4 linked regions of the Arabidopsis thaliana genome follow. The protein of the gene in region 2 interacts with the protein of the main gene of each other region in a pairwise test. Each region holds a gene or a part of one and is shown on either strand. Other genes may lie near its edges. The genes, in order: AGL89, AT5G38620, AGL78 and AGL101.

What was found.
Region 1: the proteins of AT5G38620 (region 2) and AGL89 interact in a two-hybrid assay, tested with the Arabidopsis thaliana proteins (one large-scale study listed by BioGRID).
Region 3: the proteins of AT5G38620 (region 2) and AGL78 interact in a two-hybrid assay, tested with the Arabidopsis thaliana proteins (one large-scale study listed by BioGRID).
Region 4: the proteins of AT5G38620 (region 2) and AGL101 interact in a two-hybrid assay, tested with the Arabidopsis thaliana proteins (one large-scale study listed by BioGRID).

Annotation. Positions count from the first base shown.
Region 1 is NC_003076.8:9,734,895-9,737,822, reverse strand, and holds AGL89 (AGAMOUS-like 89), read right to left. Parts: upstream 1,299-2,928; 5' UTR 1,173-1,298; coding exon 501-1,172; downstream 1-500. Other genes in the region: CDC20.5 (cell division cycle 20.2, cofactor of APC complex-like protein), read left to right, coding at 1,575-2,927.
Region 2 is NC_003076.8:15,463,358-15,466,823, forward strand, and holds AT5G38620 (MADS-box transcription factor family protein), read right to left. Parts: upstream 1,551-3,466; coding exon 501-1,550; downstream 1-500. Other genes in the region: CYB-1 (cytochrome B561-1), read left to right, coding at 2,784-2,930, 3,157-3,205.
Region 3 is NC_003076.8:26,108,430-26,111,903, reverse strand, and holds AGL78 (AGAMOUS-like 78), read right to left. Parts: upstream 1,579-3,474; coding exon 553-1,578; 3' UTR 501-552; downstream 1-500. Other genes in the region: AT5G65320 (basic helix-loop-helix (bHLH) DNA-binding superfamily protein), read left to right, coding at 3,264-3,474.
Region 4 is NC_003076.8:9,518,281-9,521,138, forward strand, and holds AGL101 (AGAMOUS-like 101), read left to right. Parts: upstream 1-1,995; coding exon 1,996-2,358; downstream 2,359-2,858.

The sequences.
Region 1 (2,928 bases), 5.7 Mb from region 2:
TCCTCCGGATACACTTTACTTAAGCTTGTACAAACATGAATCAAAAGACCTATGATAAGCTAGGAGGCACGTGTGGTAGCTCAAACGGATTCGTTGAGGCTCGTGAATAAGCAAAGAGAAGCAGAGAAGGCACGTGAAAACAGAGCAAGAAGAAACAGATTGTTTAACCACTAGCTTGAGAGTCTAGTGAGTTGTATATAAATAGATAGAAGGTTATTGCACAAGTTATGCATGTATTGATGTGTGTGTAACAAACCATAGAGGAGAGTTAGGAGATCTCTTGAACAAATCTCCATTGTTAGGGCTTGGAAGAATTTTAATCGGAAAATCACAAGGCATTGTAATCTGGAAATTCACCATTGGCTTCTAAATCCAACAAAGCCAACTAATTGACTCAGACAAAAATTGAATTGAGAATAGCATTCATAATGATAATACTTAGGAAAAACATACAATTCAACACAAACTCTTAATCAGACAATTAAAACTCATAATCTAAACTAGAAACAGATCGAGTCAGGGACTTGATAGAAGCTTCCGCTGTCATGGTTATAGACAAAGACTGAATATTTGCTCTGATGGTTACTCAATGGTGACGTCGATAGGTCTTGCTCTGTGTTTGACACACCAGTCACCAATGGTTCTGTCCATTGTTGATGATGATGATCCTCAGGAGAAGACAATGGATTCGTTGTGGAAGAAACCGCACGGCTCTGACCTAGCTCGGTCTGGTTCTCGGGTTGGAGTAACAGAAGCTTATCTTGTAATACCCGTAGACCACTTTCTAGCGAATCCTTCATCTCTAAGACTTTCTCCGACAATTTATTGTCGTCGAGGATCTTTTTACGTAGAAACAGAGAAAGGTTTGTTCTTTTCTTGCGTCGCTCTCTCTCGTGTAGTTTGCTAAACCTCTCAGCCATGTCTCGAACCTTGGATTGATCTTCCGGCCATGTCTTGATGAGTTCTCCGTCACGACCATAATATATGACACAGACTTCGATGTCGCACAGAGTTGAAAGCTCCAAGGCTTTCTTAAACATGGTCTCTTCTCTCATAGACAAATTCGTGGTCTTTTTTGCAGTAGAAGAAGAAGAAAGAGACGATTTCTTGAAACAAGTTTGGTTTCTCACAGACAATTTGGTTTTCTTCTTCGTCGACATTGAAGAATCCATTGTTGTTGTTTACACGGTGAAAGAAAGAAGCTTTAGTTTCTTGCAAAGAGAAAATAAAGTCAGAGAATTGGGATTAGGGTTTATATTGAATTTGTTAAATTCGATTTCCATATTTATTTCATTTTTCTTCAGTAACTGTAATGAAAATCTTTTATTTATTTTTAACGGAAATCTGAATTAGATCCGATTTCCATTTTACTAATATCTAACCGTTGTACGTAATTGACAATTTCTATGTAATGAATTAAAGAAAGCAAAAAACCCTAAAATTGCCACAATCTTCCTTCACTATTCGCTATTCGCTCTCTGTCTCTCTGCTTTGAATCTACTTTACGTTTCCTTCTTCGCAGGTTTTATTTGTCTCTTTGTCATATTTCGTTTAGTCTTCTTCTAATCACAGTTATGATGAACACTTCTTCACATTTAAAGGCACAAGCTTCGTGTCCACTTGTAGAACACTTTCTCCGTCGGAAACTTTCCAAGGAAAACTTCGACAGATTCATACCGAATAGATCGGCCATGGATTTCGACTTTGCTAACTACGCTCTTACCCAAGGAAGAAAACGTAATGTCGATGAGGTAACTTCAGCATCAAGAAAAGCCTACATGACGCAATTGGCTGAGGCTATGAATCAGAATCGCACTCGGATTCTCGCTTTCAGAAACAAACCTAAAGCTCTGCTTTCTAGTAATCACTCTGATCCTCCTCACCAACAACCTATATCCGTAAAGCCTCGTAGATACATTCCTCAGAATAGTGAGAGAGTCTTGGATGCACCTGGAATTGCGGATGACTTCTACCTTAACTTGTTGGATTGGGGCAGTTCTAATGTCTTAGCCATTGCTTTGGGAGACACTGTTTACTTGTGGGATGCGTCTAGTGGTTCTACATATAAGCTTGTGACCATTGATGAAGAGGAGGGACCTGTCACAAGTATTAACTGGACGCAAGATGGTCTTGATCTGGCAATTGGTCTTGACAACAGTGAAGTCCAGCTTTGGGATTGTGTTTCCAATCGTCAAGTGAGAACACTGAGAGGTGGTCACGAGTCAAGAGTAGGATCATTGGCATGGAACAATCACATTCTAACAACTGGAGGAATGGATGGAAAGATCGTCAACAATGATGTGAGGATCAGATCATCTATTGTTGAAACTTACTTGGGTCACACAGAAGAGGTTTGTGGTCTTAAGTGGTCAGAATCTGGAAAAAAACTAGCAAGTGGTGGTAACGACAATGTAGTACACATTTGGGATCATCGTTCTGTCGCTTCCTCAAACCCAACTAGGCAATGGCTGCATAGGTTTGAGGAACATACAGCTGCAGTGAGAGCTCTTGCTTGGTGCCCTTTCCAAGCGAGTTTGCTTGCAACTGGTGGTGGTGTAGGTGATGGGAAGATTAAGTTCTGGAATACACACACTGGGGCTTGCTTGAATTCAGTAGAAACTGGCTCTCAAGTTTGTTCATTGTTATGGAGCAAAAGTGAAAGAGAGTTGCTTAGCTCACATGGGTTTACACAGAACCAGCTTACACTTTGGAAGTACCCATCTATGGTGAAAATGGCTGAACTCAATGGTCATACATCAAGAGTTCTTTTTATGGCACAGAGTCCGGATGGTTGTACCGTGGCTTCTGCAGCCGGTGACGAGACTCTCAGGCTTTGGAATGTTTTTGGAGAACCACCTAAGACCACCAAGAAAGCTGCTTCAAAAAAATATACGGATCCATTTGCTCATGTGAATCATATTAGGTGAA
Region 2 (3,466 bases):
CACTTTGTATCATGTTGATCTTGGTCCCCACTCTGAGACTTTAAGAATGAAACAGAGGAACCTGAAGTTTATTCAGTGGCAATTTCTTTGTAGAATGTGTAAATGATACAATTGCATACCAGTTGGTTAACTCTATGTATATAATCGAAATTTCACCTGATTCTCTTATCATACTCATTGGTTAGCTACCAATTTTGCCATAAATTAAAGACATTTCCTTTTTTTTTATCCGATTAAGATTTATAAAAAGACATGAGTTTGTTGGACTTAAAACTACAAATACAAAACATAGAAACAGAACACAAATATTATCATTAAACCAAACTGATGAAGCAGAGAACCAGTTTGAGTTCGATCAATTTCCCTCATACATATATGGAAAACTGATCGAGGTCAAACCAGATCATTCATTACATTGCTAGAACAAATAAATCTCTAATAGAATCAATACATACAGATAACAAAGAGAAGTTGATTTGAAAACTGCAGAGAGATTATCTTCAAACTGCTGCAATAGTGTTTGCAAAGTCATTGAAACAATCAGAGAATCGTAGATTATCTCCATCCAAACATCTCTGAAACACCAAATCTGCATCTTCAAGGCTTTGAAAATAAGAAAACGGATTTGTATCCACCGAGACTTGATCATCAACACCAACATCGTTCAAAATACTTGCACTAGTCGTCTCCTGATGAGTAGTGTTGTCCGAAAACCAATCATCTATCGAGCTTTCAAAAGGGGTGTTGAAGTCAATGAGTTGATCAATAGCCATGTCTTGATTGTAATATAGGTTAACTTCAGGTAAAGCAGCGTTGTTGTTGTTGTTGTTGTTATTATCCGTAACACAAAAAGTTTCACAAATCGAGAGAATCTGATCTTGTTCTTCAGTGATTTCATTGAAAATTTCAGGTGATTTATCAGGGACGCAACAGATTGCAGAACTACTGGACTGAATATCTAGGGTTTGATTTGGCTCTTGAGTAATATCGTTGAGATTTTCAGGGATGCAACAAACTGCAGAAGCGGACTGAAAAATTAGGGTTTGATCTTGAGTTCCGTGAACATCGCTCTTCTCATTCTTCTTCAAGTCCTTGTGATCGTTAACGCAAGCTTCATCCGCACGCAACTCCTTGAGATTACTCAACAGAGTCCACATGGAACCGATCGCTTCACTAATCTCTTGAGGATTCTCCGATCTCACAAGGCTCTCGTCATTCCACCAAAACCCTAACCCTAGATTCTTGCGAGTCAAACAGATACCAACGTCCTCCCTCGTCTCTTTGTTATCCTTCGGAGCCGAAACAGGACGTTTTCCGGAGAGAAAAGCAGAGACAACGGCATCAACAGAGGAGTGACCGAAAGAGTAGAAAGAGACGTCGGATTCAGAAGAAGGAGGAGTCGCTAAGATAGCGATTTGTGCGTCGGAGAGAAGACAAAGCTGAGAGGCTTTGCTATAGAGACCTTTACGGCGTTTGGTGCAGGTAACCCTAAGGGAATCTCTCTTCTGTATCGTCTCAATCGCAATCTTTCTCTTCGTGCCTTTCACCATTCTGATTGATTTTTTTCTCAATTTTCAGATAATTGAAGTGAAGGCTTCTTCTATCTCTCAGTCTCATATATATAAGGGACTATCGAATCTCATATGAAAAAGGAAATATCGAAACCCCATATCATCCTCCTTAACCGATTAAACCACATGGACCGTAATATGGGCTAAGCCTAACCATCCACCAGAATCCCCTTTTTTTTTTTTTTTTCATCCTTTCTTATTTGCTTATGTACAAGCATAACATTATTGATGATAAATTATTCAAAGATGGACAAGAATAGATATATAATTTCAACTATGCTCTATGGACCTTCGCCACACAAAAACAAAAAAAAACAAAAAAAGAATTACCTAAGACTCTTTTTAATAGTTTAAAAACAAAATTTATAAAATAACTAAATTTTGCCTCCAAATTATTTATATTACTATTAATTTTATAAACAAATTTAGTATTTATTTATTAGTGTAGTATTTAATTAGAACGTTAGATAATTTATTTATTTTTATTTTGATAATTTTTAGTTATTTTCTTATCATTCATATTTATTTAGCGATATTTTTAGTTATTTTGTTTTATAATTATTTTCTTAGATTCTACAAAAAAAAAATTGTCAGATTATTATGAGAGACACAAACAAATATATAGTTGGTTCTTCACATTATCGTGTTTATTCTTTCTAATCACAAGATCAACAATGTAGTATCACTCTTAAAATGTGATTATGAAGTTAACAAAGCTTACATGGTAGCAGAAGAAAACATTGTTAACGACCGGAAGACTTACACTTTGCCACACTTTCTTTATTTTTCATAACAAAGAGATACTTTTGGAGAATTTCATCTTTTTTACTATTCAATATTAATCAATACTGTTTTGCCTCTGAAATAAAAATCTATGGGTGTGTGTCATTGTAATTCTCTCAAAATAAAAATAAAAATAGGCAAAGTAGACATAAACAAAAGATCTTTACTCTAATCAGTTTTGTGAGTGACACAAAGCTCCATTTTTTTACCCTTAAATCAAATTACTAATAATAATTAAAAAATCTTATAAAAATAATATTTCTGGCAAATCACTCTGGTTGACCTCAAACTCAAAGTCGAGTAATTGCCGATCTAAAACACAGGGGGTGATTCAGAAATCCCCAAAATTCGACTAAAAACTAAAACCCTAGCCCTAATTCATCCTGATTTTGATCGCCGTATAAAAGACTCGCATTTTCTGGGCTTAGTATGGCGGTTCCGGTGCTGGGTGGATTTCCGATCTTCATGGTAGTGAGAGTTTTGGGTTTCATCATCGCGGCTTTGGTTTTGACATGGACTGTTCATTACAGAGGAGGCTTAGCTCTTTCTTCTGATAACAAAGATCACATCTTTAATGTAATTCTCTCGATTGTTGTTTTGACTCACATGTGAAATGGATTGGATGAAATGTTCTTGTTGCTGTATCTGAGATTCATATTTCTTGATTGTGTTGTTGAGATATTGAAATTTGGATTTTACTTTTCTGTGTGATCACAAGCTATGATCTGAGACTCATATTTGGATGTATAATGTCATCATTGGTAGATATATATCTGATGATGTCAAATGTCTTTGTTTTTAGGTTCATCCAGTGATGATGGTGATTGGACTCATACTCTTCAATGGAGAAGGTAAGCAAACAATCTCCTTCACATGTTAAGAGTTTGTAGTATATTACCGTCTTAACTTCATATTTTAGACTTCAAATTTGTAGTATATTACCGTCTGGCGACTATTCTAATGTCAAGAGGTTTTAGTATTCGTTGTATCGGTTTTCATGTTCGATTTCCGCATACTTCATTTGTCAAAGAGACTGAACTGTTGAATTGCCCTTTTTAACATTTGAGTACATTGAAATTTTATGTCAAGAGGTTTAGGACTCATAGGATTAG
Region 3 (3,474 bases), about 11 Mb from region 2:
AATGTGATATCGACTTTCTTGATAAAACACAAGGGCTAGTTTAATTGCAGATATTCAATCAGCTCAATCTTTATCTTCTTCCTCATACCATTACTCAGAAACTACACAGAGATTCTTCTTCTGCAAAAAGTCTAGAGGCTTCACGAACTCAGATCCACTCTCCATCTCCTTGTATATATTAGTTGATTCAGACAAGAAGGATACTAAGTTGCAAGAATTAAGGTTTTAAGATTATAATTTGTTTCATGCAAGTTTTTGTGAAAGATTTTTTATGGAAGTTCATATATATATGTCAATACTAACTGAAAAAAGTATCAACTTAAAAGTAAAAACAAAATCTCCACAAATGGATTTGTTTTCTTAACAAAAAAAAAAAACAAATGGATTTGTTTTGCAGTTATAATGACACTATAAAATATTAAAAAAAACAGTAACAGAAGAAATCGGAAGCAGAAACAGCTTCAATCTCTCTCCGATCCGCTTGCTACTTAACTATTGACTGACTCTTAATGAAGCTTCAAAAAAACAAATTCTTTTGGACAGATTTTGTTATCAGAGAAGTCTTGAGTTGCCAGGAAAACAATAACTGCTAGGAATGTTGTGGAGAGGTGGCAGAGAAGATGTCTGTAGCAGACTGCTCGCATCATAGCTTGAAAACATGTCTTGAGAGAAGCTAATGTTACCGACCGCATTACCATAAGGGTTCTGGTTGAAATCAGAAGAGAATTCATGTGGAACCGTGTTTGAGAGATTAGGATGTTGTAGACCGTTGTTGTTGTTGATGATTTCACTCACCATACACATGTTCTGATCAAAACCATGAAGCTGATCCTGTTGCTGCATCAAGTGATTATTCAACCCGTAGTTATTCACTGCAGATGCTTGTACCGAAAGTAACGGTGAGTAGTCTTGTGTGTTTGACACGCCAGGATGTTCAAAGTTGTTGTTGGTGATGTTGTCCGAACACATGTTCTGACCAAAACCATGCTGCATCAAGTGATTCTGGTAATTGATGAGTTGATTGGAGTGTGGAGCAGACAGTGGGAGTTGTGAGAGAGTAGCATCTCCATGGTTGTACATAAACAGCGAGAACTTGCTAGGATTCAAGTGTTGGGTCTGGTTCAGATACGATGGTGTTAAACTCTGATGCACCAAGTTTGTGTTCTGTAGTTTCTGCGCCTCAACAATACGAAGCCTTTCTTGCAGAGTAGAAAGAGTCCGTTCTAAGGACTGAATCAATTGAGAGAGTTGTTGAGGAGAGTAATGATCAAAGTTTGGATACCAATTCTTCTTCAAATTCGTCTTCCCCTTGTCCTTGTCCTTCTCCTTCTCGAGGAACTCATGAAGATTGCGGCTCTTCTTGCGTTTTCTGGCCTCTTTATACCTCAAAGCCATGTCTTTCACTGTCTCTCTCTCCTTAGGCCATGTTCTCAGTTCACCGTCTGGTCCGTAATAGATGACGCAAACCTCAATAGCACAGAGAATCGAAAGCTCTTCAGCTTTCTTGAAGATGGTTTTAAGTCTATTTGTTAAACTTGTTGAATTACGTGACGAAGAAGAAGAAGAAGCTTGCTTCATCGTGACTTTGCCTTGATTCGGCAAGAAACTAGGGTTTTTTCCGAGAGAGAGAACACACGAAGAAGAAGTATTGTCGAATTGAGGGTGAAACATTGTGAACTCAATATGTTTATATAGATGCCTTGGTGCCTACGGGAACAAGCAAACGCGACGCGTCGTTGTTAATCGCGAGGCGTGAAGATCTACGCTCCTACGATTCGATTCGATTTCCAATATCTAATGTAGATTTCCTTAATTAATGTCTCGATGGTAGAGACCAAAAAAAAAGGAAACTTTTAATTAGTTTCTCGATGGTACTTTATTTTAGGCTGTACAAAATTAAGATCTAATTAAAAAAATACTATAGATTTGATTGTGTAATTATTAATTGTGCAACAAAAACTTGGAGGAAAAAGGAAAATCTGTCTCTAAGAAAAAAACTCTTAATTGTTAATTAAGGGTTTTCAAAAAATTGAAGAAAGATTTCAACTCATTTTATTTCTAGGTTTCTTCTATCTTTTTTTTTTTCTTTTTTTTTCAAATTTTTTTTTACGTTATAGTTGTTAATTAAGGGTTTTCAAAAATCTATAAATTGTTTCTCCAATCAGAATGTTGTGAAAAATAACTAACATAAAAACACTCTTCAAATAATTAAAACTAAATGTTCGAAGGGTATATATATACTCACTCTGTTTATTGCAAAATTACCACTGTAAACGCATCACAATTCATATTGTGGAAGATTAATTCTTGTTATATATGTATTAGCTAGTCAAGAAAATACACAATAATTGGGAATGTGGAAGTCGACAAATGTAGTAACCAGCTTGCCTTATTATAGACACAACAATATATATAATAGGGTACAATTAATGTCAGATTGATAACGACGATCCAATAGTGAACCACAAATCACGAATTTTCAACTCACAAATAGACTCGTTTCTTTGTTAGATGAAATGTACCAATCATATAAAACGACATTGTGATTGGCAATCACAAAGAAATATAAATTGTTTATGCCTCATTAAATATATTACTTGAATGGTAAAGTATTAAGATTTGTTTTGCGATCATGAAAGTTAACATTCTTATTTGTTGTGTATATCTCTGAACGTTCTTATTGGATTATGTTATGTGGGATCTGTTGCTGAAGTATCCCTTTAGATTCATTTCATAATCCAATTTTCTTTATTTGATAGTATATTTGATTGCAGTCAATAAATAAATAAACTCCCTATAGATTGTTTTCCATCAATTGTAAGAGTTTTTATTTCTATTTGTAACTGAGGTTTTGAGCAAAAAGTCCATGGTATAAAAAATACCCCTTAGTCAAACATGAGAGATTTCATGACGATATATAAAGCGTAAAATCGGGTAAAATATAAAGTTATAAACTAATTGTTGATCTTAGTATTAAGAATTTATTGCATTCGTTTCTTAATTTATTGCGTAAAATCGGGTTAAAATTAATCAAATGGTTGATCTCTTCAGAGCTAGGGCTTCATTTCTTACATAAACGTCGTGAAAATTTGATTATTAAAGTCCTCCAAAGATTAATAAATTAAAACAAACCAACAAGACCCCATTATAAATACACGCATAAACATTACTTTGTGTAAAAGATAACGTAGCCATTAACTTTTATGCATTAACTCCTTCATTTCTTTTTGTGCTCGTTTGGTTGAGAGAGAGAGAGGCTATATATGATGTTCCAACAAGATTACCCTCATGGCTTTTCACTCGTGGAAACATCCTTAAGTTACGAAATGTTGGATTACTTTCAAAACATCGTCGTTTCGAACTCTGAAGACGTGGCGTCACAGCAAAATTCCATTTCGTCCTCTTCTTATTCATCAGCGACACTCTCCTGCTCCATAACAGAGCAAAAATCTCACTTAACTGAAAAGTTATCTC
Region 4 (2,858 bases), 5.9 Mb from region 2:
TCTTGATTCCAAACCTATAAGCCTAAACCAACCAGCATCATTTTCTCTTGTTCAGCCTAAAAAGAAAGTTTAGACACATTACCTTACTTGATGGAGGAGGTTGATTTTCAGTCCTTGATCCCTCAAATTTCTTCAGAAAGTTTCCTCCGACATGCTTAGTCTTCTTCGTTGTCTCCGAGAACTTTGAAAAAAGGTGGATCCGGTGGAAGTAGTAGTGGATCCGACGGAGGAAAGGGAGAGCGTGGCGTCGACAGCTATGAAGAAGATTAAGAAGGATGGAGATGAAGAAGTTAACCACGTCGTCGTTGAGAAATAAAAGCAAAACTAAAACTATTTATAGATTATAAGATGAAATTAAGGGTGAAATAGAGGTTGCAAGGCAACCCTAAATACCCTTATTGATGTCATTTTTTCGGGAGGATCTTTTCTCTCCCTCTTCTCTCTCTAATACCTTTCAGAGAGAAAATAGGTTCTCGACCTGATTTTGGGGGCTAGAGTTTTTATGGAGACTTATGTCACAATGTCGTTGGGCTCTGCGTCTGGCATCACTTGCGTATAAGCGGTGGAAGCTGTTTTTTCCGACATCGGTGGCTCTGTTTACCACTGTTGGCTGACACTTCCAGTACTGATTGGCTTCTTCTGCAACGGTGGCTGGTTATGTCTCCATCGATTCAGCCTCTGGCGATTCAGATGGCTAGTACTGGCTTTTGTCCGGATTTGTTTTTAGTCTTTCATTCTCTCGTTTCTCTTTAGCTTCAGTTATTTTGTGTTTGGACCGATGCTTTGGATTTGATTGAAGTTTTGTTCGTAGGTTTGAATGAAAGCAAGCCCCAAATAGCAAAATTTCCTTAACGATTGAAAACTTTTTGATTAAAGAAGAAGATGAAGAAGATTTACAGATTTGTATCAAGTGGAGTCATATTTGCAACAAAAGTCAATTGGAATTTCGCCTTGGTTTGTTTGGGCGAAGAAGATGAATAAGCTTTCCGGCGATTTCTGCTTAGAATGAAGCTTCCGACATCACAACAACTTTTCGATAATCGGAGACTCCCTCCTCCTCTTCAACTTCCCACATGTCTTCCAACTTGTTTCTCATTTGACACGTGTTTTATATGTTGTATACAAGTTTTTCCTTCAGTTTAGGGTTCTCTTATTTGAGCTTTTGGACTTATGATTTTTTTTACTTTAGTGTTTGTAAAATATTGGCATGTTACATTTGGCTTTGTATTATAATTAAAACACACTTGTAAAAAAAAAAAAAAAACTAATTGATGTTCATTACACTCATATATATATATAATGAATATACTTGCTAGAAACCTAAATACATGGGCTTTAGATGGGCTAGTAGATAGGAAATACATGGGCTTGTCAAGTTAAGGTAGAAGTCATCCACAATGCCACTTGCATTCAAGATTCTCTCACAAGTCTGAGGAAATGTTTTTACGAGGCTTTACGGGTTAACGCTGCTGGTGAAGAAAAGCAGAGTGATTACTAGGAAACAGAGCTTGAGGTTTGTTTCTGAAAGCGAGAATCCGGGTGCGATTCAAATTTATAGCCCTTAGCCAATTGCTTCATGTAGGCTTTTCTTGACAGCGAAGTTACCTCATCGACTTTAGCTTTTCTTCCTTCGGTTAGATCGTAGTGAGCATAGTCGAAATCCATGGCGGAACCTGTCCAAATTTTCCTTGGAAGCTCTCCGAGGAAGAAAGTGTTCTTGAAGTGGACACCAAGCTTTCATACATGTATCCATTATTATTACTAAACACGAAGAAAACAAAACGGATCTAACTGAATATACTCTGAAGATTATTAGAAGAAATTAGACAGAAACTAATCAAATGAAGCCTGCAGAGAAGAGAAGAGAAGAAAGCGTTAAAAGACTAATCAAATAAATTCAAGCAGAGAGTGAGAGAGCGGAGAGTATTGTTTCGTCGCTTGTGATTTGAGAGGAGGAGGAGTGATGGAGAAGGTTTACCAATGAGAGAACAGACCATGTTCAAGAAAGCCTTGGAGCTTTCAACTCTGTGCAACATCGAAGTCTGTGTCATATATTATGGTCGTGACGGAGAACTCTTCAAGACATGGCCGGAGGATGAATCCAAGGTTCGAGACATGGCAGAGAGGTTTACCAAACTAAACGAGAGAGAGCGACGGAAGAAAAGAACCAATCTTTCTCTGTTTCTACGTAAGAAGATCCTCGACGACAATAAGCTCTCAGGGAAAGTCTTAGAGATGAAGGATTCGTTAGAAAGGGGTCTACGGGTGCTACAAGATAAGCTTCTGTTACTACAACCCGAGAATCAGACCAAGTCCCTGACTCGTTCTGTTTCTAGTTTAGATTATGTGTTCGTTTAATTGTCTGATTAAGAGTTTCTGTTGAATTGTATGTTTTCCTAACTATGAATGCTATTTTCTCAATTCTATTTTTGTCTATGAGTCTTAAATTTGAGTTTGAATATACATTAGACATTGAATGTTAGATGTCCATAATTGATGCAGGTAAGACAACTAATTGAGTAATTGAGCAAGATATTCTGTGAAATTTTCGGTTCAATTTGTGAATGAACTCAATGGAGGAAAGCTTATAGAAGAGGATATGATAATCATATTACCTGACACTTTGATATGTCAGACGCTCTTGTAGCAGCTTCCGTCAAAAGTTGTTGTTAATACTTAATACTAATGTTTTGTCCAAGATGTGGAAAAAAAACTGACTTTGTTCAGTTGTTGGATTTAGATGCCAGTGAGTTCCCAGATTACAATGCCTTAGTGAGTTTTCTTGATAGGTCTTTAGTGTATCCGGAGGACTGAGAGTGAACAGTCTTGTGTCACGCGGTGGATAGATTCTGTGGTTA